4 linked regions of the Struthio camelus genome follow. The protein of the gene in region 4 interacts with the protein of the main gene of each other region in a pairwise test. Links are inferred from orthologs where the notes say so. Each region holds a gene or a part of one and is shown on either strand. Other genes may lie near its edges. The genes, in order: WASHC3, EMILIN1, NUP54 and IFT20.

Evidence for each region.
Region 1: the proteins of IFT20 (region 4) and WASHC3 interact in binary tests that used the Homo sapiens proteins (3 or more experiments, as listed by UniProt). The two-hybrid records come from large-scale screens. The link is inferred for Struthio camelus from reciprocal best matches to the Homo sapiens genes IFT20 and WASHC3.
Region 2: the proteins of IFT20 (region 4) and EMILIN1 interact in binary tests that used the Homo sapiens proteins (3 or more experiments, as listed by UniProt). The two-hybrid records come from large-scale screens. The link is inferred for Struthio camelus from reciprocal best matches to the Homo sapiens genes IFT20 and EMILIN1.
Region 3: the proteins of IFT20 (region 4) and NUP54 interact in binary tests that used the Homo sapiens proteins (3 or more experiments, as listed by UniProt). The two-hybrid records come from large-scale screens. The link is inferred for Struthio camelus from reciprocal best matches to the Homo sapiens genes IFT20 and NUP54.

Annotation. Positions count from the first base shown.
Region 1 is NC_090942.1:63,564,314-63,571,240, forward strand, and holds the start of WASHC3 (WASH complex subunit 3), read left to right. Parts: upstream 1-3,927; 5' UTR 3,928-4,176; coding exon 4,177-4,404; intron 4,405-6,054; coding exon 6,055-6,153; intron 6,154-6,927. UniProt on the Homo sapiens protein: Acts as a component of the WASH core complex that functions as a nucleation-promoting factor (NPF) at the surface of endosomes, where it recruits and activates the Arp2/3 complex to induce actin polymerization, playing a key role in the fission of tubules that serve as transport intermediates during endosome sorting.
Region 2 is NC_090944.1:900,676-908,472, reverse strand, and holds the start of EMILIN1 (EMILIN-1), read left to right. Parts: upstream 1-4,792; 5' UTR 4,793-4,932; coding exon 4,933-5,105; intron 5,106-7,797. UniProt on the Homo sapiens protein: Involved in elastic and collagen fibers formation. It is required for EFEMP2 deposition into the extracellular matrix, and collagen network assembly and cross-linking via protein-lysine 6-oxidase/LOX activity.
Region 3 is NC_090945.1:6,654,426-6,662,058, reverse strand, and holds the start of NUP54 (nucleoporin p54), read right to left. Parts: upstream 3,015-7,633; 5' UTR 2,942-3,014; coding exon 2,890-2,941; intron 158-2,889; coding exon 1-157. UniProt on the Homo sapiens protein: Component of the nuclear pore complex, a complex required for the trafficking across the nuclear membrane.
Region 4 is NC_090957.1:21,431,421-21,439,287, forward strand, and holds IFT20 (intraflagellar transport protein 20 homolog), read right to left. Parts: upstream 3,002-7,867; 5' UTR 2,917-3,001; coding exon 2,790-2,916; intron 2,374-2,789; coding exon 2,288-2,373; intron 1,438-2,287; coding exon 1,334-1,437; intron 804-1,333; coding exon 722-803; 3' UTR 367-721; downstream 1-366. Other genes in the region: TNFAIP1 (BTB/POZ domain-containing adapter for CUL3-mediated RhoA degradation protein 2), read left to right, coding at 6,071-6,458. UniProt on the Homo sapiens protein: Part of intraflagellar transport (IFT) particles involved in ciliary process assembly. May play a role in the trafficking of ciliary membrane proteins from the Golgi complex to the cilium.

The sequences.
Region 1 (6,927 bases), on a different chromosome or scaffold from region 4:
TAATATTCAACTGAAATTTATTTTGATAACTGTTGAACAGTCTTTAATCTTGGCTTCGCTGAAAGGTGGAGCTACATAACTGAGTCTTTACATGCCTACATATATATGTACACATGCATAGGATATAAGCTGCTTTCAGTTACATACTGTACAGTATTTATTCCTTAAATGTGATATTTATCATCCAGTATGGGTGCTGGTACAGAAATTCATTTTCAAATCGTACACAGTGTAAATTTGGATATTATCCCTGAATTATTTTGTATAAATCCTCCCGCTGGGATTCAGACATTAATAGTTCCAGTTTAACTAGCTCGATTAAAACATTTTAAAGAGGTTTTGGAAAAATTTGGATCATTTGCCTCCACTCTGTTTGTGTTTTTCACTTTTCATACCCTGCATTTTGTAGTTCCAGCTGGGAGAAAAAGTGCTGTGTTACAGCTTTCTGCGCAGTATTTTTGGCCAAATCAAAAGAAGGAAGTACCAGAAAGTTCACAGACGAGCCGATTCTTGTCAGACTTCTTGTCCAATTTTACAGATCAAATGATTCAGCTAAGATTTGGCTAAGCATCTATATTATAAAATTTCTTTAGCAATGCCTGGAAAACTTACATTATGGGCATTTTTTGGTAAATGAGATTCATTCTTCTTGCATACAACTTGTCCTTTAAGATAATTAAGATGGCAAGATAATTCACTTAGATATTTTAAACAAACAGTTCCTTCCCCCAAAAATAATTTGCAGAATTGCCATAGGCTAGATTAAACCTATTGAATTTGTAGGCTAACCCCCTCCTTCCTTTGAGAGATGTGAGAAATTGCCAAGTATATGTCACTGGGCCAAAACACCGTACAAAACCCAGGTTGTTCAATAATTCAAACAGTATGGACAAAAAGGACTTTGCTATGTAGTATTTTAGCTGAAAGAATAAGAGGGATATGAGTATGACGAAAGATAAGTTAAAGAAACCACTAAATACGAAATCAAAGAAAAGCAGCTTCAGCACATAAATGAATATTTTACCTAATTTCGGAGCAACAGAGGTAGGTACTCCAGTTCTATTCCAGTCCTCATAGATCCTGGAAATGGGATTGCTTAGTGAAACAAAATAATTTGGAAGTAAACTGAGAATTTAAAATTTTAATTAAAATTAGCATAGCACTTTAGGGATATAATCTTCACTTTAGGGATATAATCTTAATAGTATTAAAGTAATTAGCACCTTTTGGTTCATCTCATCACATGAGAAGCTTCCTACTGACAGCCTCAGACTATGGTAGATTCTTAACTGCTCTAAATTTAGATAGTTTTATTGGATTTATGAGTATTTAGAGGTAGCCATGAGGTGTTTTCATCAGGCACTTACTCCACTACACTCTATTTGGATACACTGCTGTTACAAACAACCTGGAACCCCAAATTGCTCTGATTTGTCTTGTCTTCCAGTAATACACAAACCTAGAATATAAATGAATTAAAGTTTTAATTAAAAAGGTTGAGCTGTTTGTTATATCATTGGAACAAAAGATTACCAACAACCTCATTCCAGGATCTTTAGTTGCTTAGCTTGGATTCTCCAAAGCACAGCCCAGGTGTCAGGACTGAGAATTCTGTGCTCACAATGAACACTCCAAAGGTTAGCCTCTTTTCTGAACTAATTATTTTTGTCAAATCTGTGAATAAACTCTGAGAGTTAATGACAGTTTTCACAGAAGGAACAAATGCAATCTGCATGTACTGCTGGAGCTGGGGCTTACTTAAAACTGCTAGTGTGCCTGATGCTCTCTTTGGAGCTATGTGTTAGGAGATTTAAAGGTAGTTTCTCATCCTTCATTCATACTTAATCAGCCACAGGATTGGATGCATGATCTATCTGTAATTGCCATTCCTGGCTCTTTTAGAGGCAATGTCCTAAAATGTGTAATGACTTGTTCTTCTTTGAGCCTAACCAGCTGGCTGGTTGATCAGTCCCAAAGAATACAGACAGTATAGCTCACAGAAGACCTGTTGACAATGTGGAAACCAATTATTTAATACAAGATAGGGTTCAAACACTCTCTGTTCATTTCACAATCTCTTGTATATAACTGTGTATAAATGTATATACCACATTCAAAATCTTATGAGCACAGATGGCAGATGCGGTTAACAGGGCCAGAAGATCAGCTCTCCTTCCTAAGCTTTTACTGTGACTATCAGAGTTTCAGCCAGCAAAATAGCTATCTCAATCACCGTGCACAGTTCATTATATATTTTTAAAGTTACACATCAGATGCGCATCCAGCAAATAAGTGTTTCTTTCTATTGCTGTTCTCCTGAAACGCCAAGGGCGAAGTTGCATGAGATGGCAGAATTATCTGCATTTTGCTACCACTCCCTGAAAGGAAAGGTCTCGTTTTCTTTTAACACTGCCCCTCCCTTATACACAGACTCTGGTGTTCAATGCACACTTCAGCTGATTTGATTCAGCTCATTACCCAAAGAGGAAAAACTCCCTCCTCTAAGGTTAGTTGTCTGCCAGGATGGCAATTTGAATTGCCTCAAGGATGGGTTCACCGAGAACAAGTGATAAACTGAGTTCACCAGCTGGTGGTGAAGGGTGAGAGGGAGGTGGAAAAGCCTTTCGACGAAGCAAGCTATTGGAGTGGTCCATACCGTCTTCATTTTGGGACCCCACACCTAAATGGTTTGATTAGTGCTCTGAAATTAGCCACAGCGGAAAATAACATGAGCAACTTCTCAGAGATAAAAAAAAAAAAAAGAGGTTGATTGTTTTACAGTTAGGGAATTATTCCGGATGAACACTTGGAAACCTACTGACCATTCCCTTTTTCCTTAGAGTCTGATACCCCTAAGTTTCTTTGGCCGAGAGAAACAGAGTAGACCTTCTTATAACCTAAACATGAGAGCAAATAGAAAGCAGTGGTAGGTATTGCTGAACAAAAGAAAACATCACCATAGGTCAGCACAGGAGGCACATATACAGCAAGGGCATCTTTGGAAAATACCAACATTACTGTATGGTGAAGAACTTCAATGAATAACCTGCTTCATTGTCACTAAATACTGGTATTACTTTTCTGCTCAAGCTGACTGTGATCCCCTATTGTTTTAATGATACGAATTTTCTATTATGTCTTTATTCTCATATCATGTGTTAACTATTTAAACACTCTCCTATCCATTGTTACCCTATGATCAGAGGAAACCCCATCTTTCACCTTGTCTGGGTTTACTGGTGAGCTGTACCACCAGTACACCAGTTATTGCAAAATCATCAAAGTGAACATTCAGCCGAGCTTAATTCTTATAAATCTTCTCATGTTAAATATCCTGTCAAAACCAAACAAATAAAAGGCAGAAGTGAGAGATACTGCTATTTAAGAGACTTGTTCAAGCGAAAAGTTACTTGTTTAGTAAAGGCCCGTTACAGTCAGCTTTCCAAACACATTTCATGAATGTTTTCAACATATCTTTATTAAAAATGATTTTTTTATATTTATTTTTATATTATCCTTTTTATATTACAGACGTATTTTTTAAGTTTTGAATATATCCATGAGATACGCAGTACAATCCTGGAAAACCCTAAGGAAAAGCACTGATAAAATCTGAATGAAACTATCAGTTTATAAAATACGATTACAGAGATGATAGTGGCAGAGCACTAAGCAGCATTAACTGAAACACTAACGTTAAGACAGGCCGCAGCTAAGGTTCCCCGTACTCCCTTAGCTCCTTTTGCAGTAAGGTACAGAAATCTTTCGTAACTTGATTGCCCAGGCTCATTCACTGCTCGTGACTTTTATCCGACCCTCCATCATCCAAAAAACGCCCCAAAAAATAAAAAAAAATCAGTTTCCTTGCGGATATTTCTCCTTATTTGGCTGCCTGACGGCTGGGGAAGACCTTTCCCCTCCACAGCCCGTTATCCAAGGCCTTGTTTTCAGACAGGTCGGTGCGGCAGCGTGAGCCCCGGCCGCAACGGGGGCCTTTTGCCAAACGCACTAGAAGAACAAGGGCGAAGGCAGCACCGCGGTGCTTCAGCAGCCGCCCTTACAAAGACGCGGAAGGAGGCCGGTAGAGGCGGGGGGACCTGCGCCCGCCGCCGCCGCCACAGCTCGCCTTCCCCCCCCGCCCCCCCAACCCCGCACCTCGCTCGGACTACACTTCCCATGGCGCATTGCGGCAGGGGCCGGGGCGCTGCACATGCGCACAGCGGCCAGCGCCTTGCCGGAGCCGGCGGGCGGGTTTGTTTCCGGGCGGTGGTCAGAGGTCGGGCGCGCAGCGCGAGGGCCTTGCGGGGGGCGGCGGGGCTGTCGGCCGCCCCTCGGCCGCGGGGCGGCGGGGCGATGGATGAGGACGGGCTGCCCATCGTGGGCTCCGGCATTGACCTCACCAAGGTACGGGGCGCCGGCCGCCGCGGAGGCCGCAGCTGGCCCGGCCCGGCCCGGCCCGGCCCGGCCGCGGCTGCGCTGACCCTGGTGCTGGGCGGGCCGGGTGCTGCCGCCCGAGGCCCCGGCGTGGGGGGTTGGGGGCGCCCGGCCGCCGCCCCCGGGGCGCAGAGTGGTATGCGAAAGTAACTTCGTCCCTGCAGCGGAGGCGCCCGGCAGGCCCGGCGGTTTGTCTCGTCTTGAGCTGTGTCTGCGAGGGGACAGTCTTGCGCTCTTCCAGAGGCGCTTGGCTGCAAGTAACAGCGTCGTGTTTACGGGTTAAACCGTGTCGGGCTTCGAACTGTGAAACAAACCCTATGCAAAGCTGCCTACCTTGGTCTTTTAGTGATTAAAACAAAAAAAAAAAAAAAACCCACGTTATTAGCTTTGTTTATGAAATATCAAGCATAAGGATTGGACAGTTCCAGGCCTGATGATTCCCCTTCCTTCCATCCATCTTCCTAGCCCCGTAACTTTCTGATAAGGATTTGACCGCTGTTTGATGGTTTTGGAGCTACAGAATTGAACTTTAGGAGATCTTGGACTACAGGTGAACAGATTGACAACTGAAGCGATAGTAACAACAATCTCACAAAAAATCAGGATGTTTTCATGTTGGCAAAGGTAGTGAATGGCTGCACTGACAGGTGGGAGTGCAGCAAACAAGTAGCAACCGTAAGTGCTTGCTGAACAGCTAATCCTGTCAATGTAGTCGTACTCAGGTGCTGATTAAGACAAACTGTGGTTCAGTGCAGCTAAAGCTTTGCTACAAATGTTTTTCCTTGTAAGTGCTCTGCTTGAATCAATTAAGATTCCCTGTGTAACTTCTTATGTGGAATTTAAGACTTTTCACTATTGTCCAAAAATGAACTCTGAAGCCCTGTAATTTTATAGGCAAACATTTGTGTGAATGTTCTCGGTTTGCATCTTTTCTAATGGTTTAAATAAAAATGCCAGCTATTTGTTGCAAATGAACACCACACCTGTTTTCGACAAATATAACCTTCTACACCTTTTAGCCTGAAAAGTACATGTGCATGAACCTCCCACTTGGAAGAGCGACACTGAAGTCTAATTTTAGGATAATCTTAGCTTGAAAAAAATATATAGGTATTCAGTAAAGACAGACAGCAATTTCACTACTCCTTATTTTTGATTGTGAAGTATTGATGATAGTTTTAACTGAGTACTTACATGGATGGACAGGTTTTCTTTTTCCTCCTTAAACTTCCAAAAGAGAGGTTCTGACCTGCTCTCTCTCTCTTTTTTTTTTTTTTAATTTTAATGCTGATTTTCAAGGGTTTTCATAATTTCATTCAAAAGCATTTGCTTAAATAAGGTAACTGTCCTTCAGTTATGTGAATATTCCCTTTTCCATGTATCTTTTAACTTTTCAAGTATGACATTAGTAAATTTTTAATGAAAAAGAATTTGTATATCTATAAGCAATGAATAAACATATATATATGTATATATATATGCATTCATATCAGGCACGCTTAGGGCTTACTTCTAAAATAATTTCTTCTAAAATACTTGCAGTTTTTTATAACTATCTTAGTCTAGATGTGAGAGTTGATGCCTGTGTATAAGCTAATTTTCTTATATTGTTTAATGCAGGTTCCTGCTATTCAGCAGAAAAGAACTGTAGCATTTCTAAACCAGTTTGTGGTTCACACCGTACAGTTTCTCAACCGATTTTCTACTGTTTGTGAAGAGGTATGTTTATTGTTTCCCATTTGTCAATTTGTATAGATGAAAAAACAAATTCAGAAATGAGAACCATTCAATTTGATACGTTTTGCTGCAAGATGGCCAGGTAGCTTAAACCAGAAAATTTAATCGATGCAGTGTTTCTCTTGAGTGAAGACGTAAGACAGATTTTTTTTTTCCAAGTTACCCATGTGAATTGCTGATTGTACCAGACTGATAACCTTTTTCCTTAAACTTTTGCATTTGGCACAGTCTTTGGACTTTTTTCTGAGCAGCTCCATTTGTGGATATGCTCTTCTTTTGGAAGAAGAATGCCTTCTTTCTATGCTGCTGGATCTATTTTGAAAGTCAGTATTCATCTCATCCTACGATGCACATCAAAATTTTCTTGCAAATATTTTCCACCTTTACTTTGAAAGGGTGATATGCTAAGCTCTGCATGTAAATGATATTCATGTGAAAAAAAGACGTTTTTGGCAAGTGATTAGCATGGAACATGAGGCAGTTGATTTTAGTGTTTTCTCAGAAAGAGAAAAGTAAAAACAGTAAAAGCTGACAAGTTTTTATGGTGAATTTAGTGTCCAAGAAAACATACCAGACTGACAGTACTAGAATTGATCACAGAACAGGTCTAGAGTGTTTCATCCCTTGTAGAAAGGTTGGTTTCTAATGTGGCTTTAAGCTTAACCTTTTTATCATGAGGGTTTTTTTGTAACTGTTGACTCGCTTACTCAACAAAGACTACTATACAGCCCTAGCCAGCAGCAATTGTCATATCCA
Region 2 (7,797 bases), on a different chromosome or scaffold from region 4:
CTGGGCTGTGCTGGGCCGTGCTGGGCTGTGCTGGGCTGAACTGGGCTGTGCTGGGCCGTGCTGGGCTGTGCTGGGCTGTGCTGGGCCGTGCTGGGCTGTGCTGGGTTGTGCTGGGCCGTGCTGGGCTGTGCTGGGCTGAACTGGGCTGTGCTGGGCTGTGCTGGGCCGTGCTGGGCTGTGCTGGGCTGTGCTGGGCCGTGCTGGGCTGTGCTGGGCTGAACTGGGCCGTGCTGGGCCGTGCTGGGCTGTGCTGGGCCGTGCTGGGCTGTGCTGGGCTGTGCTGGGCTGTGCAGGGCCGTGCTGGGCTGTGCTGGGCTGAACTGGGCTGTGCTGGGCCGTGCTGGGCTGAACTGGGCTGTGCTGGGCCGTGCTGGGCTGTGCTGGGCTGTGCTGGGCTGTGCTGGGCTGTGCTGGGCTGAACTGGGCTGTGCTGGGCTGTGCTGGGCTGTGCTGGGCTGTGCTGGGCCGTGCTGGGCCGTGCTGGGCTGTGCTGGGCTGTGCCGGGCTGAACTGGGCCGTGCTGGGCTGTGCTGGGCTGTGCTGGGCTGTGCTGGGCTGTGCTGGGCTGAACTGGGCTGTGCTGGGCTGTGCTGGGCTGAACTGGATTGTGCTGGGTTGTGCTGGGCTGTGCTGGGCTGAACTGGGCCGTGCTGGGTTGTGCTGGGCCATGCTGGGTTGTGCTGGGCTGTGCTGGGCTGAACTGGGCCGTGCCGGGCTGTGCTGGACTGTGCTGGACTGAACTGGGCTGTGCTGGGCCGTGCTGGGCTGTGCTGGGCTGTGCTGGGCCGTGCTGGGCTGTGCTGGGCTGTGCTGGGCTGTGCTGGGTTGTGCTGGGCTGTGCTGGGCTGTGCTGGGCTGTGCTGGGCCACACTGGGCCGTGCTGGACTGTGCTGGACTGAACTGGGCTGTGCTGGGTTGTGCTGGGCCGTGCTGGGCCATGTTGGGTTATGCTGGGCTGAACTGGGCTGTGCTGGGCTGAACTGGGTTGTGCTGGGCTGTGCTGGGCCGTGCTGGGCTGTGCTGGGCTGAGCTGGGTTGTGCTGGGTTGAACTGGGCCGTGCTGGGCTGAACTGGGCTGTGCTGGGCTGTGCTGGGCTGAACTGGGCTGAACTGGGCTGAACTGGGCCATGCTGGGTTGTGCTGGGCTGTGCTGGGCTGAACTGGATTGTGCTGGGTTGTGCTGGGCTGTGCTGGGCTGAACTGGGCCGTGCTGGGCTATGCTGGGCCATGCTGGGTTGAACTGGGCCGTGCTGGGCTGAACTGGGCCGTGCTGGGCCACACTGGGCCGTGCTGGGCAGTGCTGGGCAGTGCTGGGCAGCACTGGGCCACACTGGGCCACACTGGGCAGCACTGGGCCACACTGGGTCACACTGGGCCACGCCGGGCAGCACTGGGCCGCGCCGGGCAGCACTGGGCAGCGCTGGGCAGCACTGGGCAGCACTGGGCTGCGCTGGTGTCAGGGCGGGGTGGAGGGGCTGGCGCGGGGCTGCGGTTCGGGGCAGCCGGGCGGGGGGCGGCCGGCCCCGGCCCCACCGAGGGACGAGGGCCCCGAGCCCCCCGCCACCCCCCCCGGCCCCCCGCGCCGTCCGCGGGACCCCCGGCCCCGGCCCGGCCGCCGGGAGCTGTTTGCACTGAACCCGCGCCCCCTCCCCAGGCAGCGGCCGGTTCCCGGGCGGCTGAGCCAGGCGGTGACGTCACCCGGGGCCGGGGCCAAGGTGTGACGTCATAGGGGGCTGGGAGCGGGGGCCATTACATCACTGCATAGCCTGGGGAAGCCGTGATGTCACTGCAGGCCCAGGGCCAGGGTGGCCGTGATGTCACTGCATGGCCGGGGTGGCCGTGATGTCACCACGTGGCCAGGGTGGCCGTGATGTCACTGCATGGCCGGGGCGGCCGTGTCGTCAGTGCCCAGTCCCGGCTGCGTCCCCACTCCCGTGACACCCCCCCCCCGCGGGGGGTGACACCATGGCAGGCGACAGCCCCGGCCAGTCCCGGCCCCTTTGCACCCCCGCGCTGGCGGGCTGTGGGCTGGCGGCCCTGTGGGGACCGGGGGCAGTGGGGGGGGCCGGGGGCCGTGCAGGAGCAGGGGGCCGGGCAGGAGCAGGGGGCCGGGCAGGAGCAGGGTGCTGTGCAGGAGCAGGGGGCCGTGCAGGAGCAGGGGGCCGGGCAGGAGCAGGGGGCCGGGCAGGAGCAGGGGGCCGGGCAGGAGCAGGGGGCCGGGCAGGAGCAGGGGGCCGTGCAGGAGCAGGGTGCTGGGCAGGAGCTGGGGGCCGTGCAGGAGCAGGGGGCCGGGCAGGAGCAGGGTGCTGTGCAGGAGCAGGGTGCTGTGCAGGAGCAGGGGGCCGTGCAGGAGCAGGGGGCCGTGCAGGAGCAGGGGGCCGTGCAGGAGCAGGGGGCCGGGCAGGAGCAGGGGGCCGGGCAGGAGCAGGGGGCCGGGCAGGAGCAGGGGGCCGGGCAGGAGCAGGGGGCCGTGCAGGAGCAGGGTGCTGTGCAGGAGCAGGGGGCCGTGCAGGAGCAGGGGGCCGGGCAGGAGCAGGGTGCTGTGCAGGAGCAGGGTGCTGTGCAGGAGCAGGGGGCCGTGCAGGAGCAGGGGGCCGGGCAGGAGCAGGGTGCTGTGCAGGAGCAGGGGGCCGGGCAGGAGCAGGGTGCTGTGCAGGAGCAGGGTGCCGTGCAGGAGCAGGGGGCCGGGCAGGAGCAGGGTGCTGTGCAGGAGCAGGGTGCCGTGCAGGAGCAGGGGGCCGGGCAGGAGCCGGGGGCCGTGCAGGAGCCGGGGGCCGTGCAGGAGCCGGGGGCCGGGCAGGAGCCGGGGGCCGGGCAGGAGCAGGGTGCTGGGCAGGAGCAGGGTGCTGGGCAGGAGTAGGGGGCCGTGCAGGAGCAGGGGGCCGTGCAGGAGCCGGGGGCCGTGCAGGAGCAGGGGGCCGTGCAGGAGCAGGGGGCCGTGCAGGAGCAGGGGGCCGGGCAGGAGCCGGGGGCCGTGCAGGAGCCGGGGGCCGTGCAGGAGCCGGGGGCCGTGCAGGAGCAGGGTGCTGGGCAGGAGCCGGGTGCTGGGCAGGAGCCGGGTGCTGGGCAGGAGCAGGGGGCCGTGCAGGAGCAGGGGGCCGTGCAGGAGCCGGGGGCCGTGCAGGAGCAGGGGGCCGTGCAGGAGCCGGGGGCCGGGCAGGAGCAGGGTGCTGGGCAGGAGCAGGGGGCCGTGCAGGAGCAGGGGGCCGTGCAGGAGCCGGGGGCCGTGCAGGAGCAGGGTGCTGGGCAGGAGCAGGGTGCTGTGCAGGAGCCGGGTGCTGGGCAGGAGCAGGGGGCCGTGCAGGAGCCGGGGGCCGTGCAGGAGCCGGGGGCCGTGCAGGAGCCGGGGGCCGTGCAGGAGCAGGGGGCCGTGCAGGAGCAGGGGGCCGGGCAGGAGCCGGGGGCCGGGCAGGAGCCGGGGGCCGGGCAGGAGCAGGGGGCCGTGCAGGAGCAGGGTGCTGGGCAGGAGCAGGGGGCCGTGCAGGAGCCGGGGGCCGGGCAGGAGCCGGGGGCCGTGCAGGAGCAGGGGGCCGTGCAGGAGCCGGGGGCCGGGCAGGAGCAGGGTGCTGGGCAGGAGCAGGGTGCTGTGCAGGAGCCGGGTGCTGGGCAGGAGCAGGGGGCCGTGCAGGAGCAGGGGGCCGTGCAGGAGCCGGGGGCCGTGCAGGAGCAGGGTGCTGTGCAGGAGCAGGGTGCTGTGCAGGAGCAGGGTGCTGGGCAGGAGCAGGGGGCCGTGCAGGAGCCGGGGGCCGGGCAGGAGCCGGGGGCCGTGCAGGAGCAGGGGGCCGTGCAGGAGCCGGGGGCCGGGCAGGAGCAGGGTGCTGGGCAGGAGCAGGGGGCCGTGCAGGAGCAGGGTGCTGGGCAGGAGCAGGGGGCCGTGCAGGAGCAGGGTGCTGTGCAGGAGCAGGGGGCCGTGCAGGAGCAGGGGGCCGTGCAGGAGCCGGGGGCCGTGCAGGAGCAGGGTGCTGTGCAGGAGCAGGGTGCTGTGCAGGAGCAGGGTGCTGGGCAGGAGCAGGGGGCCGTGCAGGAGCCGGGGGCCGGGCAGGAGCCGGGGGCCGTGCAGGAGCAGGGGGCCGTGCAGGAGCCGGGGGCCGGGCAGGAGCAGGGTGCTGGGCAGGAGCAGGGGGCCGTGCAGGAGCCGGGGGCCGTGCAGGAGCAGGGGGCCGGGCAGGAGCAGGGTGCTGGGCAGGAGCCGGGGGCCGTGCAGGAGCAGGGGGCCGTGCAGGAGCAGGGGGCCGTGCAGGAGCAGGGTGCTGGGCAGGAGCAGGGTGCTGGGCAGGAGCAGGGTGCTGTGCAGGAGCAGGGTGCCGGGCAGGAGCCGGGGGCCGTGCAGGAGCCGGGGGCCGTGCAGGAGCAGGGTGCTGTGCAGGAGCCGGGTGCTGGGCAGGAGCAGGGTGCTGTGCAGGAGCCGGGTGCTGTGCAGGAGCCGGGGGCCGTGCAGGAGCCGGGGGCCGGGCAGGAGCCGGGGGCCGGGCAGGAGCCGGGGGTGCAGCAAGGGGTGCCAGGGACCCCGCGCAGTAGCAGCGGCCGCGCTGGCGGCTGTGCAGCCCTGGCCCCCTGCCCGGCCTCTCTGGCTTTCCCCGTCCCTCCTTCGCCGTCCTCGCTGGCGTCCCGGCCTAACGAGAAGCAGATGTGCGCGGCGGCGGCGGCGGCGGCGGCCGGGGGGGGGGGGGGGGGGGGGGGCAGCCCAGGCCGGGGCAGAGGCGGGGGCGGCGCGGGCGGGGCGGGGAGGGGGCCGCGGCGGGCAGGAAGCGGGGGGCCCCGGGGACCCCGTCGGGCGGGCGGGCAGCGCCGGGGCGGCTCTGGCGGCGAGGGGCCGGCCGAGGCGCGGCCGAGGGGAGGGCAGAGCCCAGCCGGGAGGGACGGAGCCGCGACGGGACGCGCCATGCGCTCCTGAGCAGGGCTGCGCCCGCCGTGCCGTCCGCGCTGGCCAGCATGGCCCCCTGGCTCTGGCCGTGCCTCCTGGCCGCCCAGGCCCTGGCCGCCAACTTCCCCCCCAGGTACAGCCTCTACACCGGGGGGGCCGCCCCGCTGAGCCCCGTCCAGGCCACGGCCCCGCAGGGCCCCGCCGCGGCCCACGGCGGCGCCCGGGCCGCCAGCCGGCACAGGTAGGAGACGCGACCGCCACGCTGTGCCACGCTGCGCCGTGCCGCGCTGCATGGTGCCGTGCTGCGCCGTGCTGCATCGTGCCGTGCTGCATCGTGCCGTGCTGCGCCGCGCCCTGCGCCGTGCCGTGCTGCGCCGTGCTGCATCGTGCCGTGCCACATCGTGCCGTGCCGTGCTGCACCGTGCCATGCAGTGCCATGCTGCACCATGCCGTGCCGTGCTGCACCGTGCCATGCAGTGCCATGCTGCATCGTGCCGTGCCGTGCTGCACCGCGCCGTGCAGTGCTGTGCTGCAGCGTGCCGTGCCGTGCTGCACCGTGGCATGCCATCCTGCACCGTGCCGTGCCATGCAGCGCCACGCCATGCCACACTACGCCAGGGAGGCGAGCCCAGGCGTCCGGGCGGCGTCGCCTGCCCCAACACCGTGGGGTGCCCGGGACCAGCCGGACGCCGGCACGTGCTGCGTCCTGCTCAGGGCCCCGCCAGCAGGGCCAGGGTGCAGGACCCGTGCCTGGGGCCACCCGCGGGGTGCTGGGGGCCCTGGGGCCCGGGCGGCATGGCGTGGGGCTGAGCTGGGCCCGGCGGGGGCCCCGGTGCCGACACGGGGCTGCGAGCCGAGCTGCCACCCCGGCTGCCAAGCGTGGAGGGGCTGGGGCCGCAGGCGGTAGGGCGGGTGGGTGTCAGGGGGGTCCTGAGAGCGGGGGGCATGCAGGGGGGCTGGGGACGGGGTGCACTGGGGGCTGGGGAGGGGTGCACATGGGGCGTCAGGGACGGGGTGCACGAGGAGGAGCCCAGCCTCGAGGGTGCACCGGGTGGGAGATGGGGACGGGGTGCACATGGAGGGGGGTCGGGGACGGGGTGCACGTGGCGGGGTTTGGGGAACGGGGTGCACGAGGAGGAGCCCAGCCTCGAGGGTGCACTGGGCGGGGGGGGGTTGGGGACGGGGTGCACATTGTGGGGGGACGGGGGGGGGGTCTGGGCAGGAGGAGTTTTAAGGAAAGGTGTGTGCATGGAGGGGCTTGGAGTGGGGGGCGCCCCGAGGGCTGGGGCGGGGGGGTGGAGGGCTGCCCGGACCCCGCAGCCCGCCCCACGGCTGCCCCGCTCGCCGCGGGGCGCCGGGCCGGGGGGCCGGCGGGCGAGGGAGGGAGGGAGGGGGCGTCCGCCGCAGGAATTCCCGGAGGCCCCCGGGGAAGGAGCTGGAATCCGGCCGGGGGCCTGAGGGGGAACCAGCCGGGCTGACGGGAACGGGCCGGCGGGGGGGCGCCGGGACGCCCCGCTCCCCGGCCCCGGCCCCCTCGGCCGGGCTCGCAGCACAGGGTTTGGCCGAGGCCCCTGCGGTTGCAGCCGGGGCGGCAGTGGGGCAGGCCGTGGGGCGCGCAGCCCGGGCATCCCCCAGCACCCCACGGCCCCGCGCCCGGCTTCCCCTCGCAGCCACGCGGCGGGGTGGCCGTCCCCGGCGGGGCTCCCGGTCCGCCGTGCCCCTGCCGTACCCCCCCGCCGTGCCCCTGCTGTGCCCCCGCCGTGCCCCCACCGTGCACCCTGCTGTGCCCCCCGCCGTGCACCCTGCTGTGCCCCCGCCGTGCCCCCGCCGTGCACCCTGCTGTGCCCCCCCGCCGTGCCCCTGCCGTGCCCCTGCCGTTCCCCCGCCGTGCCCCCCCGCCATGCCCCCGCCGTGCCCCCGCCGTGCACCCTGCCATACCCCCACTGTGCCCCCGCTGTGCACCCTACTGTGCCCCCACCGTGCACCCTGCCACGCCCCCCCGCCGTACCCCCGCTGTGCCCCCGCCATGCACCCTGCCATGCCCCCCCGCCATGCCCCCGCCGTGCACCCTGTCATGCCCCCCTGCGGTGCACCCTGCTGTGCCCCCGCCGTGCCCCCCGCCGTGCCCCCCCGCCGTGCCCCCGCCGTACCCCTGCCGTGCCCCCCCGCTGTGCCCCCACCGTGCCCCCGCTGTGCCCCCGCCGTGCACCCTACCGTGCCCCAGCTGTGCCCCCCCGCCGTGCCCCCTGCATTGCCCCCGCCGTGCCCCCGCTGTGCGCCCCGCTGTGCTCCCCGCCGTGCCCCCCACTGTGCACCCACCGTGCCCCTTGCCGTGCCCCCGCTGTGCCCCCCACCGTGCACCCACTGTGCCCCTGCCATGCCCCCGCTGTGCACCCTACTGTGCCCCCGCCATGCCCCCTTGCCGTGCCCCCGCTGTGCCCCCCACCATGCCCCCGCTGTGCACCCACCATGCCCCTTGCCGTGCCCGCGCTGTGTGCCCCACCGTTCCCCCACCGTGCACCCCGCTGTGCACCTTACTGTGCCCCTGCCGTGCCCCCCACTGTGCCCCTGCTCTGCCCCCGCTGTGCTCCCACCGTGCCCCCGCCGTGCCCCCGCCGTGCCCCCGCCATGCCCAGGGTGATCAAAGGGCCCCGGCGCTGCGGGCGGCCGGGCAGAGCGGAGATGAAAGGGCTCCGGCCCGGGGCAGGATCCAGCCCCTTAACCCGGCCGCCCTGGGCCGTGGCAGCCCTGGGCGGGCGCCTGCCCGGAGGGTGCCCGGCCGTGCACTGGGAGGGTGCTGGGGTGCGCCAGGAGGGTGCTGGGTGCGTGCCGGGGAGGGTGCTGGGGTGTGTGCTGGGAAGGTGCCCGGATGTGTGCCGGGAGGGTGCTGGGGTGTGCGCTGAGAGGGTGCTGGGTGTGCACCAGGAGGGTGC
Region 3 (7,633 bases), on a different chromosome or scaffold from region 4:
CTTGCCAGACTGTTACCAAAATTGAATGGTGGAGTTGAGGTAGTGGAAACACCGAAATTCCCAATATTAAAATTCACTGCAGGATTAGCAGTTAATCCGAAACCCCCAAAATTAAACCCACTGGCAGTGGAGTTTGCAGTTTCAAGCCCACCAAATCCTGACAAGTGGGAAGCAGAAAAAGAGCAAGGCAACATTAGTTTGAAGTAAAAAGCAGGTTCAGGAAGTAAAAGCTAAAATATTTTCCATCACAGGAGACAAAACAGGCATAGTTAAAAAATGAGAGTAAGAAGTCAATTGATATTAAAGAGCATTTATTGAACACAAGTAAGACAATTGCAAGCTTAGTGTCTGACACACTCTCCTTGCATCGCTACTGTAATCATATTTTTCAACTATACCGCATGTAACACACTTGAGTCTTTTCTGTTCCCATTTCTAAGTTAAACAGGAAAATTTCCATGTGATTAAAGATTTGCATTAATAGTACTTTTTAAACCACCTACGACTGCTGAATACAGTTGCATCAGTACCAGCACGACTGACAGTAGTATCATTATTTCACAAACTATCAGGAAGGCAAGGATAAAGGATCTTTATGCCCATATACTACCCTCACACGGGTGGCTGTAGCAGCGTAACCACAGCAATACAACTTGAGCAGTTAAAGCACTACGAGCTGCTAAGATACATCTTCGCTACAGTAATCACTCTGATAACAAGCACTTAAGGGCTAACAATCACTCAAGTGCATTCACAACTTCTCTCTGTCCACCTTTGTGCTTGCAGGTGTCTGACCTCACGCACCCAAGGTTCTCCAGGCTAAGAAAAACGGGCCAATACACTGCATCCCTATCAGGTCCTCCTCAGCAGTAGCTGGGGAACAGGCTCATGCTAGGCAGGCAACTGGGATTTCTTGGGTGTGTGGTCTGCACGCACACGAAACCAAGTAACTAGCTGTGCAAGCAGTAAAATATTATCTTTTCCCTTAAGATGGGCCAGAAAGTCTGCATCTAGAACAATGACACAATCAGGAGGAGAGCCCATAAAGTAACCCGAGATAAACCAAAGATGACAAGCCCTGTGCATACTAGCCAGAGAAGACACGACTCTTCAATCTATTTTAAACATTCCAAAAGCTGAGAAAGAATAATTTTACTAAATGAGAGTAGAAAGGCTCTGATTTACATTTCACCAACACTGGCAGTCATTGGGCAGCAACAAAAAGAGGGGCAGGGGGAGTCTTTCAGTCTTTCCAAGTTCAACAGTGTTTTGCACTTCTCAGAAATTGACTTCCAGGAGCCTCTCATTCTTAGAGAAACATTACTGCAATTGAAAGTGAGAATCTGAGTGATCTGTCAGCATCAGTCAGGTAACGCATACCCCGCACGCTCTAAGAGTGACTAACGATATTTAAGCATTTCCACAACTGCATGAATACAGACAAGCGCCGGCTAAGTTCTTACAGTGACCTCCCACTGCTACTTGCAGCTGTACCCACAGGAGAAAGACATACAAACAAACGGTGGGGGGGGGGGAAAAAAGACTAACAACAACCATAATCAGAGAGACAAACTCTGATCTAAAGTGCCTGGGAGAAAAAAGCCGAGGGGTCCGTCCTGGAGCCCACACCGCCGCCGCCAAGAACTGAAAAAACAGTCTCGGCCCAGCCATGCCAAGGACCCGGCGACCGTTAGGGGCTCACCTGCAACGGCGCGTCACGACCGTTGGGGGCTCGGCTGCTGCGGCGCCTCACCTGTGTGTAGGGCTGTGGGGGGGGGGGGGGGGGGAAGGGGACACAGCTCTCGTGCGCGGCCGTTGGGCGCTTGGCTGCTGACCCCCGCGCGCCCCGCGACCCTTAGGGGTTCGGCCGCCACGGCAGGGCACGTGGGGGGGGGGCTCGTGCGCCCCGCGACCGTTAGGGGCTCGGCTGCCACGGCAGGGCACGTGGGGGGGGGCTCGTGCGGGGGGGGCTCGCGCGCCCCGCGACCGTTAGGGGCTCGGCCGCCACGGCAGGGCACGTGGGGGGGGGGCTCGCGCGCCCCGCGACCGTTAGGGGCTCGGCCGCCACGGCAGGGCACGTGGGGGGGGGGCTCGTGCGCCCCGCGACCGTTAGGGGCTCGGCTGCCACGGCAGGGCACGTGGGGGGGGGCTCGTGCGGGGGGGGCTCGCGCGCCCCGCGACCGTTAGGGGTTCGGCCGCCACGGCAGGGCACGTGGGGGGGGGGCTCGCGCGCCCCGCGACCGTTAGGGGCTCGGCTGCCACGGCAGGGCACGTGGGGGGGGGCTCGTGCGGGGGGGGCTCGCGCGCCCCGCGACCGTTAGGGGTTCGGCCGCCACGGCAGGGCACGTGGGGGGGGGGCTCGCGCGCCCCGCGACCGTTAGGGGCTCGGCCGCCACGGCAGGGCACGTGGGGGGGGGGCTCGTGCGGGGGGGGCTCGCGCGCCCCGCGACCGTTAGGGGTTCGGCCGCCACGGCAGGGCACGTGGGGGGGGGGGGCTCGTGCGCCCCGCGACCGTTAGGGGCTCGGCCGCCACGGCAGGGCACGTGGGGGGGGGCTCGTGCGCCCCGCGACCGTTAGGGGTTCGGCCGCCACGGCAGGGCACGTGGGGGGGGGCTCGTGCGCCCCGCGACCGTTAGGGGCTCGGCTGCCACGGCAGGGCACGCGGGGGGGGGGCTCGTGCGCCCCGCGACCGTTAGGGGCTCGGCTGCCACGGCAGGGCACGTGGGGGGGGGGCTCGTGCGGGGGGGGCTCGCGCGCCCCGCGACCGTTAGGGGTTCGGCCGCCACGGCAGGGCACGTGGGGGGGGGAAGAGAAAAAGGCAGCTCCCCGGCCCCAGCAGAGCGACTGCAGCGGCTCCTCCCTCCCGCCCGCGCGGCCGCTCACACTCACCGGTAGGGTTGGCGGCACCGGCCCCCGCCGTCGCCCCGAAGTTGAAGGCCATGAGGTGCTCCTGGCGGGGCCGCGGGAGCAGCGTGCAACGCCCGAGGCGTCCGGCTGGAAACAAACCCCCGCTGCTTCCGGCCGCTGCCCAGCGCCGCTTCCGGGTTATACCGCCGACCTCCGAAGCAAGCGCGGCCCCGCCTGTCGCCACGGCAACGCGCGCCGCAGAGGGGCGGGGCGCGGCCCCGGGCGGTGACGCCACGGATGACGCGAGCCGCCTCCCCGCCTCCCCCCGCGCGCCCTCTGCCGCCCCCTGGGGGCCGCCCGGCGCGGAGGCTGCGGCGGGGCCGCGGGTGGGAGCCGGCCCGGGGCCCCGCAGCCTGGGAGTGAGCGGCTCTCGGCGCAGCGCTTCCCTCAGCGCACTGAGGGGCAGAAGCAGAGCAGGGCGGCTGCGCCCGGTAAAAGAAGCGTCACACGCCCAGGGTCGCTTAAATAGAAACATTAACTTTTATTAGTGCGACGTCTGATCTGAATGTACAGTGGAAATAAAAACTGCTCGTCTCAAGAAGTGAGCCACGCGTGCAGACACAGTGATTTGCGCTCAAGTGTCTCCTCTGGTCAGCCACCGGGAAATAACTTCAGCTTAAAAAACAATCAGTAAACAATCAGCGAAGTTGACAATCATCCCCCACAAGTCTTCAGCACTTGTAAGTAACTAAACGCTGCACGGGATCATCCTTGGCTCCGAGAACAACTAATACTTTGTGGAGCAGCAAAGGGGAGGGATTACGTGTCCAGTCTTTGCTGGGCGCAGCATGTGCAACTCTTACCAAGATGCCTGGGTGCCCCGGGGAGCTGCCGCCCCGGCGCTCAGCACCCTGCCCCGTGCTGGACTCCCGCTCACACCAAGGGTGGCTGCACGCTGACGGCTTCACGCGTTTTACAAGGGCCAATGGTTTCTTCCTCCCAGCTGCGCCGTGCAGTTGAAGCGCCACCATCCCTGGATAGCAAAGGCGGCAGCTCCCCCTGCTCCTACGCGAGCGCCCGCACAAAGTTGCCCAGCGTCCTCGCAGCCCTGTACGTCTCCCGTGTCACCACCAAGCGCCGGGAGGCGGACGAAGGCGTGCTACGGAGCAGGGGAACCAAAGCTCCAGCCACCCTGCAGGCCCTGGGCAGCGCAGGAGCTTGCGCCGGCACACGAGTGTTATTGTCATCATACACACGATGCACTCACAGGAGTAAAATACATGTTTTAGTGTTTTCTTGAACACTTACAAATAAAAAGAGAGAACAAAAGAGACCCTGGCGTCACAGAAAATAGCCAGACCACTGATCACACCAAAATAGTGCAATAAATTCTTGGTGATAACTGTCCCCACTGCGTGAACCACCAAACTGTCACCATGTCTAAGTTAGTGAGGGAAAGCCTGGTGTCCAATGCGAACAGCTCTTCCAAAGTACAGCTGCTATTTTGTAGATGCTGTATTAGTAGGAGGGCATAAGACTCCACTACAAGGCATCACATGGAAATACACTGGTTTAATAAACCAAAAAGGAAATAAAATATCAGCCAAACCAGCAGGCATCTTTTAGGCTCGTTTCTTTCTAAAATTCTGTAGTCATTTTACTAAGACATTTATGTACCTTCCTCCAAGCAGCTAAGCATTTGTCTGTCAATTTGTACCCATTTATAGGGGAGGTTTCAGAGGATCCCACAGAGCCTACAGCAGAACGCAACTGACTTCTGTGGGCACAGGGCTAGGTCAAGCTACGGTCTTCCGAAAATCCGTCTGCTTCAGTATCTGTTGCTGGAAGATTCAGATGTTCAGAAGCCCAGAACAACTGTGTCTAAACCAAGAGACTAAAGACAACTTTTGCCGGAACTTTGCCCTCAGGTCCTCACCACCAGCAGAGAAGAAAGCAGCCCTGAAATCAGTAGAAAGCCACTTTCCACAGCACTGTGAGAATTTCCACCCTTGCACCAAAACTGAGAAGATGCAGAAAAACAGTCTGACTGTACAAGAATAAATCGAGTGTCTAATAGTAGAGCAGGAAAAAATAATTAAAGAGTTACAGAACCTAACCAGATCTTCCCTGTGTATTAGGCGGAGGAAAATTTCCTCCTTTTTGGTTAAATGCAGATTTAAGAAACAGACGATTCCCAAGGGAAAAAAAAACTTCTCAGAAACAGGTCGCAGAATGGAGGTACTGCAGCAATTCAGTAAGGAAAAGAGAAGTGCAGCTTAACGTGCTGGATCATGTTAGGGAAGCACACACAAACAAACAGCTAGCAACAGTAATTCAGAGAGCTAGGATGTTCATCTTGCATCTTCAGAAAGAGAGCAACACTGAAGGGCAAAGCCCCTCGTATATGTAAGGGGGAACGGCTCCCCTGATGGCAAAGGAGCCACGGAGGTTTACAGTGGCTGAGCAATGAGCCCAAGGAACGGAGTTACCACCTCTGAAGTCCTGTGTCAGGCTCTGGCTTGCCTCCGCTCCCTAGTCCTTGAGACCAGCTGCAGCTCTGAAGTCACCCCCCCCATCTGCCTTGGAGTTGGCTGAAGCCACTTTGGCCAAAGCACCTGTGGTGCAGGGACTGCTCGCTAATTCTCTCCGGAAGGGGGATTTTACCCTCTGAAACATTATCATTTGATCAGAATAATCTTATTCCTTCTAGGAATCTTATTACTTATTTATTAAGACTAAAACTGGGAAAACCATGGGCAATGGTGGAAGCATCACTGAGGATTTTAGTTCTGTGCTGCAGTCTAGACACTCATGCACAAGATGCAGCCAAGGCAGATCGCGTGCCTTTAGAGCGCAGTGGCCTGGCTTGTAGAACGGAGACACTGAGGCCTTGCCGAGTCTCCGGCCTACACTGTGCAAGACAAACTGCCTGTTAGCAGACGAGACTCTGAATATAGATGCCTTGGAGCCTACCTACATGCTGTGGCACACAGATACCAGAGGCAGCTCTACAAGGGGAGCAACGAACTCCTTTAGCACAGAGCGTGATGGAGCCTAATCAACCCCCCCAAAAAGTCAGTGCACACTGACTCGAGAAGGAGATACACACTCACGTGGCTATACTGTGCTGATTATAGTAGCCACGCAGCCTGGTGCCTCTCCATATCTGCCTGAGAAAGACTTATCTTAGTGGGGAGCTGCCTCACATTGGAATCAGCAGTTTTTCCCTGCCCCCTTCCTGACACCATAATTTGCAGGCAGACTCTCCCCAGGGTATGACTTGGCAGGCAGCTAGGAAAGAAAATCCACTGGACTTTCCCTATGAGGCAGATTCTCTCAGACATCAGCCGAGGAAGGAAATGAATAGCGCAAAACCATTAAGGTGACTGACTCCAACTACATATCCGGCATCCGGGACATGGCAAGAAGAGCAGCAGTCTGGGTTAAAGTAGAGCAAAGAAAGTTGCCAAAGTGTTATCACAGAGCATTATCTGCAGCCCAGACAGCCAAAAGGCAACATCTGGGGGACATGGAGTAGAGATGATAGTTTCAGCCCACGATGTCGAAGAGAGGGGTTGCTCCAGAACAGCTTCGCTGAGGTGACTGCATGTAAAAAGCTGGAACGAGTCTCTTATTCCTGGGGTATACGCTTACAGTTCACAAGGAGATAGGCAGGCAATGTCCTAGCGGAGTCCTGTTCCTCAGCCAAGCAGCAAGCTCGGGCCCTGGCTTAGGATACTAATTTGTTAGGCTCTGGCCTTCTGCTGAAAGCACAGCTTGAGGCAAATCTGCCCCTTGTGTGGAACAGGCAAAGCTGGAACTGCAGCACTGTGAGGACCCTGGGCTGCGGCAAGCGCTTTTAGACAACACATAATAAATAACTGTCATCACTGTGAAAGTTCCTGGATGGAACTGGCTCCAGATGAACAAAACTGCTGAGCCAGTTGTCAGCTAGGCAAAAAGATAAACCAAAACAATGCCAAAAACAATGCCTCTGTTTTGAAAAAAACAATACATTTTAAAATTTGATTCACTATCTTATCTCATGGATATTTTCTCAATGAAAATACTCCTTGCACTGGGGGAAAAAATACCTTTGTTTTTAAAACAGCAGAGTTTCCACTTGACAAGTAAAAAAACATTTTGGCTTTTCAGGGCCCTATACATACCTTAATGTGGAGGTCTGCTTGCATCCTAAACAATACATTTAACTGCCAAGTCTTCGATCACATTACACCTCACAGTTGATAATTGTGACACAAATATCAGAGAAAAAAGAATACCATTTTGTACCCTCCACCATCAAGAGCAATGCTGTGCTTTGTTTTGTTTTATAAGTTCAAGAAAAAACTAAAGGATAAATGTATCACTAACATGCAATGGGATCCTGCGCACAGTTAAAACAGGTAAGAGGTCTGTAAGGAAAAACATTTCAAATCATTGGCTTCTTTTTACTTAATATCTATGTATGTTTAACTAAATTTCAGTGAATGTTTTGGATTAGTTTTACAAATCAGTCCTGTGAAAGGGCCAATGATACTAACAGTCAGCGCACCCTGGTAGTAAGAAGCCTGTAGCACTCTACAGAAAAGACAATACGAGGCCTACAGCAAAATTTTCAAGTGTTCCTGGGTGACACAGGAGCCTGCTGTAGTGTACAATACCCTGCTAAAAGGGTACTCCCGCAGCCCACATTCCTAAGGCCATTTGCAAATTTTACCCGCGTCATTCTTATAACAAATCAGGGCATTTTCTTTTCACTGATATAGTGGTTATGATCATCTAT
Region 4 (7,867 bases):
AGTACCCTTGGAACAGTTTGTCTCATCAATTTGAAGTTAATGTTCAGAAAAATATTCTACTCTAATATTACTAGCTGTATGGACGTTGCACCTCAGATGTAATTTAATCTGAATTCTATGTTTTCTACTTTTTTCATTTGTAATTAATCAACTGTTGCTCAATTTTCCTTGTTTTCTTTTTAAATGGATAGAAAAGGAAAATCTGATCAATACAGATAAAATTACTGCTGCTTCTCTCTGTTGTGTGTTGTCTTTATAAACATGAAAATATTATACGTAGGAAATTCTCCATTATGATTATGCAGAGTTGTAAACTCTTAAGAGCAGAAATAAACTTAGCAGAAGCAGTAATTCTGAGATTCCCCAGAAGGTCTGAAAACAATAATTTATTTCCTGATTTATTTAAAAGAGTTGCACACTTCAAAAAGTGAGAAACATAACATAGCAACAGTAGCGTTAATTCAATTGTAATCTGAATTTGAACTACTGACTGTACAAACATTTTATAAAACTACAGGACAGAACTGTCTTTATTTACATCTGTTAGAAAGCTTTCCTTATTGCCACTTTTAGTGTAAATTCAAATTGTATTAAAAAACATTTTCATTTGTACAAGCCATCTGTTAATTCATATACAATGAAAAATTGCATATTTTTGAAAGCCTCAGGATCCTGGAATGGTCAAGTTCCCAGGTCAGTATGCTGTTTATCTTAAAATCCTTTATTTTTGAAAAATGAATTGGTCAATGAATTCATGCTGGTCAGCTTCTATTTTACATAGTGTCTCATACTCTATTCGGTATCTGAAAGAGAAAAAATGGTTACAAGCTACATTCAGCTCCTGTTATTTAGATGATTTAGTTCTATCTTCATGGGTCTGTTGTGAAGGAAATCTAGGCTAAGCGCATAAGTAATTTTTAAAGCAGTGGCTACATCAGTTAGACACTGCAGTTCTGAAGTACCTACAAAAATCCAAACAGCACTGTATTACAGTTTTATTAAGTTTCTTAGCTGCATGATCTCGTGCCCCCTCTATTTAGCCACAAAAACATTAGAAATGAGGCTTCCTGCAAGAGTGGTAGACAGGGCCTTAAGTTAAGCATAGAATTATGCTGCTGCATTATTCATACATGCCTTGTATGGGAGGATACACCTTAGCTGCAGGTGGACTGTTTGAACAAGCTTAGAGACTTTCCTCCTTCAGGCAAGCACAGATGATAAGACTGAGTATACAGTCTACATAATTGAGCTGAGTTTGTCATGTATGATATACTACTTTCATTTCAAAATATTAAATCAATGCCCAAAAAACTATATTTAATATAAAACTTACCTTTCCAACTGCATCTTTTTCTCAGCTATTAAAGCCTGAAGTTGCTGTTCCTGAGCTTCTCTTTGCTTAGCTATAGACTTCAGCAAATTTCGTGCACCAATGGCCTGTCAAAACAGGATTTGCAGTGACGTAGTTGTATCAGGAGCTTTTTTTTTTTTTTTAAAACCACTTTTGTTACTATTAGATTGATTTTGAAGTGTTTCAGCCGTGCTAACAATAGAAGAGGATATCATGTTGATACTGAATGTTTAGTGGAACAGGCAGACAGCCCTGTAGCAGTTGTGCAGATTAAGGCATTTGAGGCTTCCTTCAAACTTCAAGTGTTCATAACACGCTGACAGGAAAGCCACTGACTCTTCTGGAAATACAATCTGATCATTGGTGACTAGTACTACAGATAGACAAGCTCTGGTTATAATTTTTTCCCCAGAACAAATGATGAAAAAGCAACTACCTACAATTTTGCTAGTTGTTCATTTTTATTTTCGCAATAATAGGGGGGAAAAAAGTCTTAGTGACGCATAGAAATACGCCAAGAAAGTTTCAGAGGTAGTTACAGAGATATATATTGATTTGGTCTTTGGACAGCCCTTTCTTCCTCCTCGTGGATCCTCTCATGAACTAAGTTCAAATGGTAGAAATATTGATCAGAAAACATTTTCTGTTTACATGCAATATACTGATAAGCTGCAACAGTAGCACTATTAAATGCAGGAGTAATGTCACACTCCAGGTGTGCTTATAAAATTTTTCCAGTTGTTAATGTCAGTTTTTTGTAGCCCCTATGCTTTCATACCAGACAGGCAGGGAGATGTTAACTACCATGGAAAATATCTGCATGATGCTGACAGAAAATTATTGTTTATACTGTAAAAGTAGGAAGGAAGGGAGCTGGTTTTTCATGCATTGTACAGGGCAGGGTATGTTACAAGCCAGTAATTAATTGCGCAGTACCTTCATCTTCTCACTTTCAGCAGCTTTTGCTAGTTGATCAACAAGTTCAATTAAGCTACCCACTATTTTTTGAAATTCTACTACTTCTGCAAAGAAAAAAAAAAAGTCAAGTAATATCCATCAAAATAACACCAAATAAGACTAATATGTGTACTATAGGCTTTGAATTTCAGCCGTGACTTCTTAGTCCTTTCAGTTTACTGTAAATAGGTGCACTTTAAGATTTTCCTTCACAACAGGTAGGATATAAAAGGGGAACAAAAAAGAGAGAAGCCCATAAACGTTAACGGGATTCATCACCGTCCTTTACGCCACGGAGTCCGCTTCCTTAATTTTTTCGTCACTTCAAGGCATTTTTCCGATCCGTCTATTCAAGGAATGGTTATTCGAAGCTGCGGAGCCCCCGCACGGCCCCGCTAAGCGACACCTGCTAACAAACCGCTCCCGAGGGGCCGCGCGGGCTCTCGGGCGCGGCGCGGCGCCCCGGCGGAGCGGCACTTACTGTCCACGAAGGCGCCGCACTCCTCGCGGAGCTGCGCCGTCTGCTCGGCCACGCCGGGCTCCAGCACGCGAAGCTTGTTCAGCTCGTCGAAATGCAGCCCGGCTTGCCCCAGGGCGTCGCGGGCCATGCCGCCCCCGCTGCCGCTCCCAGGCGCGCTCCGCAGCAAGCCGGCACCGCAGCGAGCGCCTTCCCCGCCGGCGGCCCGTCCCGTCCCTCCCGCCGCCCCCGTCACCTGGCAGCGCCCCTCCGCACCGCGGCTGCCACGGCGACAGGGGGGACGGTACTGCAGTCGCGGGGCCCTACCCGGCACGCCGGGAGCTGTAGTCCCAGCCTCCCGCCGAGCCCGCGGCACGTCGGGAGCTGTAGTCCCGGCGGCGGGGAGCGTTTCCGGGTTGCCGGCGCGCGGAGGAAATGAGCTCAGCCGAGGGGCCGCGGGGGGGTGAGCGCTCGAGGCGGCGGGTCCGCGGGGGAGGGCACGGCGGAGCCGGGAGGCGCGGGGGGCGGCGGCGGCGGCGGCCGGAGGCCTGGCGCGGCGGGGCTGAGCCTGCGGGCGCGGGAGCGCGGCGCTGCCGGCCGAGCGGGGCTGAGGAAGAGTGCGGTCAGGTATCGTCCCAGCATCCCGGTGGGCGGTGAGAGACGGCTAGGGGAGAACTCCTGCTCACATGAGTATTTAGCTTCTAGGGTGACCTTGTTATTTGCCTTGCCAGATGTAAAACTGAGACCCCGAGAGGAAACATTCTGCCGCTGTGGTGCTGTCGCCCTTGCTGACCAAGGAATAGAGGCCAGGTGCGTGGACTCGAGTAATTCAGCACCCGGAAACTTTGTCTCTGGAAACGTTGCCCTCCATCTGTATGTGAAACTTCGGGGCACGCAGGAAACCTCCTTTTTCTCCGCTGTTCTGACACTGACGTGCTCATGCCACCTTCCTTTCTGACTCCACTAAACCTTCTCTATCCATAACCTTTCTTGTGCTGCTCAGCTCTGTGCAGACTTCAGCAAGGATCGGGGTCATGCTTCTGTCCCATCATGATGGGCTTGGCAGAGCCTGGGAGTGTCCAAAACTACTAAGACCATTTTGTCTAGTCCAGAAATTAGACAGAAAGTGTGCCACTTTAGAAGTGATTCTGTTCAAGTTTTTTTTTTCTCCTCTTGAGCTGTTAACGTTATTTCTTTTTATGGAAGTCCTCAACTGGGACCATTTCCTGATAGGGTGTCTGAACTGCCGTGTTATTGTTCTGCAGTTCTCCATCTGCTTCCCACAAAAGGCAGGAAGGAAAGGACGTAGAAAATTTTCTCTTGCGTTAATGGGTGTAATTAAAGGTCAAATTACTGTTTGCAGCAAAAGCCTCCTAGCTTGCTAGTTAATAAACATGTTACAGTAATAGTATTTGCTCCTACTTGGATAGGCTGGATAGAGAATTTTGCTATCCATTAGAAAGACATTAAAGAGCTCTGTTTGGGTCTGGAGTTATTTCTTTTGTTGCATGATCAATCTGGCTATCTTTAAAAACATGCTTTTGTTTTAAAGAGAGATCGCTATGGGCTAAAACAAGACAGGACATCTGTAACAAATTTGTAGAAATAGAGGTATAACTTAGGTCTACCAAAGGTCTTAACTGAAACAATAAGTATAGTTGCTTCTAGTCTTGATTTACTTATTTGTAAAAGATTATAGTAAACACCTATGTCTAGTAAGGAGGAATTGTGTTATGTGCAATGTGTTTGGAGAAGTTCTGGTCAATTTCTCCATAGCTTTTAGCTCTTCTGGGTAATAAACTTCTTATAGCACCATAATCGCATGCACAGTTTTTGTTTGTTGCTGGCTGCTTACCAGTTTGAAATTACTTTTCTAGCCTAGTTCATTTGTAACATGCAGTTGCCTTTGACTTATATTTGTCAATGGACGACTTGTCTAAAATGATGTGCTCAGAAAAAAAAATTGGCTTGTTCAGATGTAGAAGTAAATTTACTATTGTGTTCTAGGATGATTAGTTGAAAGTAAAGAGTGTTGACAGCTAGTGGGAGTTCCAGCATTTATAGACAAACTGATCTCTCTTGGCACTAAAATTGTTAACATTGGTTTGTGTCTTTGTGACCTGCAAAGTTTTTGTATTGTTTGTTGTTTAATAGATCTTTTTTGTAGTGCTTCCTTAATTAGAATAACATTATGTTAGATATCGTTCTAAGTTCAGTAGCTATTCAAATCTCTGGCAATTTTAAGATACCATCTGTAGCTGCTAAGTAATTTGCTGCACCAGATGGATGGAGAGATGTGGGTTTTTTCCATGCTGAAAGCTGAGGTGGGGTGAGAAGGAAGAGGGATGTGGGAAGAATAGCAATACAGTTAACAGGTTATTATATTTATTTATAAAAGGTCACTCATGTACCACGGGCACAGAACAGAGAAGCGAACAGACGCTTGTAGTCTGAAATAGATAAACAGACAAAAGCATAGTGAGAGGGGAAAAGCCAGCAAAATGTTTCTGAGGCCAACAGTTATTAAAAGAAGGCTAGCTGAGAAACCCGTACTTGTACTTTTCCAGTTAAAGAACCTGAGATCTGGCCTGTTAAACTGAGTTTTGTTCTCCTTTTGTTTGTTTGTTTGTTTCCATTCTAAGCTTCTCTTGGATGGAAAGATAAGTATAGTGAGACTGGGGAGAGGAAGGAAGTTGTGAATGTCTTAGCTGGCTTTTCCGTGAGGCAAATATTCCAAAGACTGGACGTATTTTTTAAATAGAAAAATTAGTATTATATTGACTGCTTGGCATTCCAGGACAGAGGAAAAAGAGTTTTGAATGAAGGATGTACCAGGAAATAGAGCATTATGGCCCAGCATTTTAGTGTCGAGGCACTTGAAAGAGAGGCAGCTGAAACCTCTGTAAATGTCTCCAGTTAAAAAAAAAATTCATATAAACCCCAGCTGGAGACATTGCAGAAAGCTCTTCCATTGTGTTTTAGATTTGCACAAGAAAAAGTTACATTATTTTGGGAAGTTGGGAGGGAGCCAAATTCTAACTATTATTTAAACTTGTACAGGATTGGATGGTGATTGTTATATTGACTGAGGACTAAACAAAAGGAAGTCCAGAAAAGTTTTACTTGCCTCGCTAACAGTAATGCAGCCATAACTTAACAGTATGGTGCTGAACAATCATTATATTGCTGTGTAAGTTGTTTGAAAAACACTTACGTCTTGTTTTGTCAGAATTTGTGCAGATGTGTCCTTAAGAATCTACTGAATACATTTCTTCTTTAATGTGGGTTTCCTGTTTTTGTTTTAAATGGTAATTCCAGGCTTCTGTATTGATCTTTATACGTTTCTGTTTCAAGGGTCCAGTGGGTTACGACTGTTTTTGCCTTGCACTCCTCATCTCGTGACTTGTGACTCTTCACCAATCACGGCGGAATCCATCAAGCCCACGCTCTGCAGGGTTGTCATCTATCTACAGAAGGAGATGTCAGGGGACACATGTCTAACCACCCTTTGTCCAGCTGCAGGATCCAAGCCCAAAACTAGCAACTTCAAAGGGGGCAACCTTGGTAACAAATATGTGCGACTAAATGTTGGGGGTTCCTTATATTATACTACGGTTCAAGTACTGACCAGGCATGACACAATGTTGAAGGCTATGTTCAGTGGCAGAATGGAAGTGCTCACAGACAAGGAAGGTAAGGGGAATGTCTTTTGATGTGGAGAATTTTGTAAAACAATAGTTTTTGTAGACTATGCTGAGTGAAGGGTATAAGGAAAAACGTATTCGGAAAGTAATTTGGAACATTAGGCACCCAGCTCCCATTGGCTCTAGCAAGCCTCCGTGCCTTATGAAAATGTGCTCTTTTGTTACTAAAATTAACTAGAGGAGGGACTAGTTCTCTTTGCTACAATCCCAGCTGGTACACAGATTGCTGACGTTATCAAGACTGAACATACGGCACATGGGTTGTCATTTATTGGGTGATATATAGTGGTGTCAATCAAAACTGGGGGTGGGGGGACATTCAGTTTTCATCTTTCAAACTCAACAGCCTTGCTTGCTATGTTGAGGATTCTGGGTTTTTTTCCCCTCCTAATAGTATGTTCCACTTGTTGCTGACAATACATATCCATGTTGTGACAGTATTTAGTCACCAGTCAAGTATTATGTCGCCTCATGCTGGACATTGATTCCTGGCATTATAAAAATAAAAATCCATAATAAATTATAGAGAACAGAACAAGTAAGAAGACTGATGTCAGCAATGCCTATGAATGCTTCTGTTTTCCTCTCTTTACTATCCCATAGCAAAATGATACCTTAGGAATGAGGCTTGTAGCACTGTGGAGAAGAGATTGAGAGAGGATGGCAAGTATTTAACCTCTTGGTGTTTCAGAATATTCATCTGTGAAAGCTCTTCCACATGCTGAGACTGCATCAATTTAAACTTGATGCATAACAGTGTTTTTACTTAAACTGACACAACTTCTTTGTGTGCATATCACTTAAACCAAATTCCTCTTGAGTACGCTGGTTTGTATATGACTAAATCAGTTTAGCCCAGCAATTTTGTGTAAGAGCCTTAGCCTGAAGAGAGGACAGGGTTAGTGTTCTGACAGCCACAGCTGGAGAATCTAGTAGTGGTTTAGTCTACTTTTCTTATAATGTCCTCTGCACCTGGGTCCCCAAATACCATTTTTTTCCTGCCTTCCACATTATGGAAGAGAGTTTGTCACTGTACTAAGTCCTCTGCTTGCGTGTGTCCTGCATTGCTATTGTTTGCCAGCAAGTCAGACATCCTGTTTCCTAGTCAATGTGCCCTCAGGGATGTTTTAGAATCAGAAAAACGTTCATCTACTACTCCTTCCTGTGCTGCTTCCACTTTCCACTCTCTCCTGATCTGTCTGTGTTCTTTACTCGTATTCGGAGACCGGAACAGTGTTTTTCCCACACTGTGTTTTCTGGGCTATTCTATGTTTTGGCATCCCTGGAATACTTTTCTTTTTGTTAACTCTGAACAACAGTAGAAGATGGTTGGGAGGCTGACAAATTTTTCTAGGTAGGCCACAGAACTTAGCCCCAATTCACTTGTTGCAAATATTT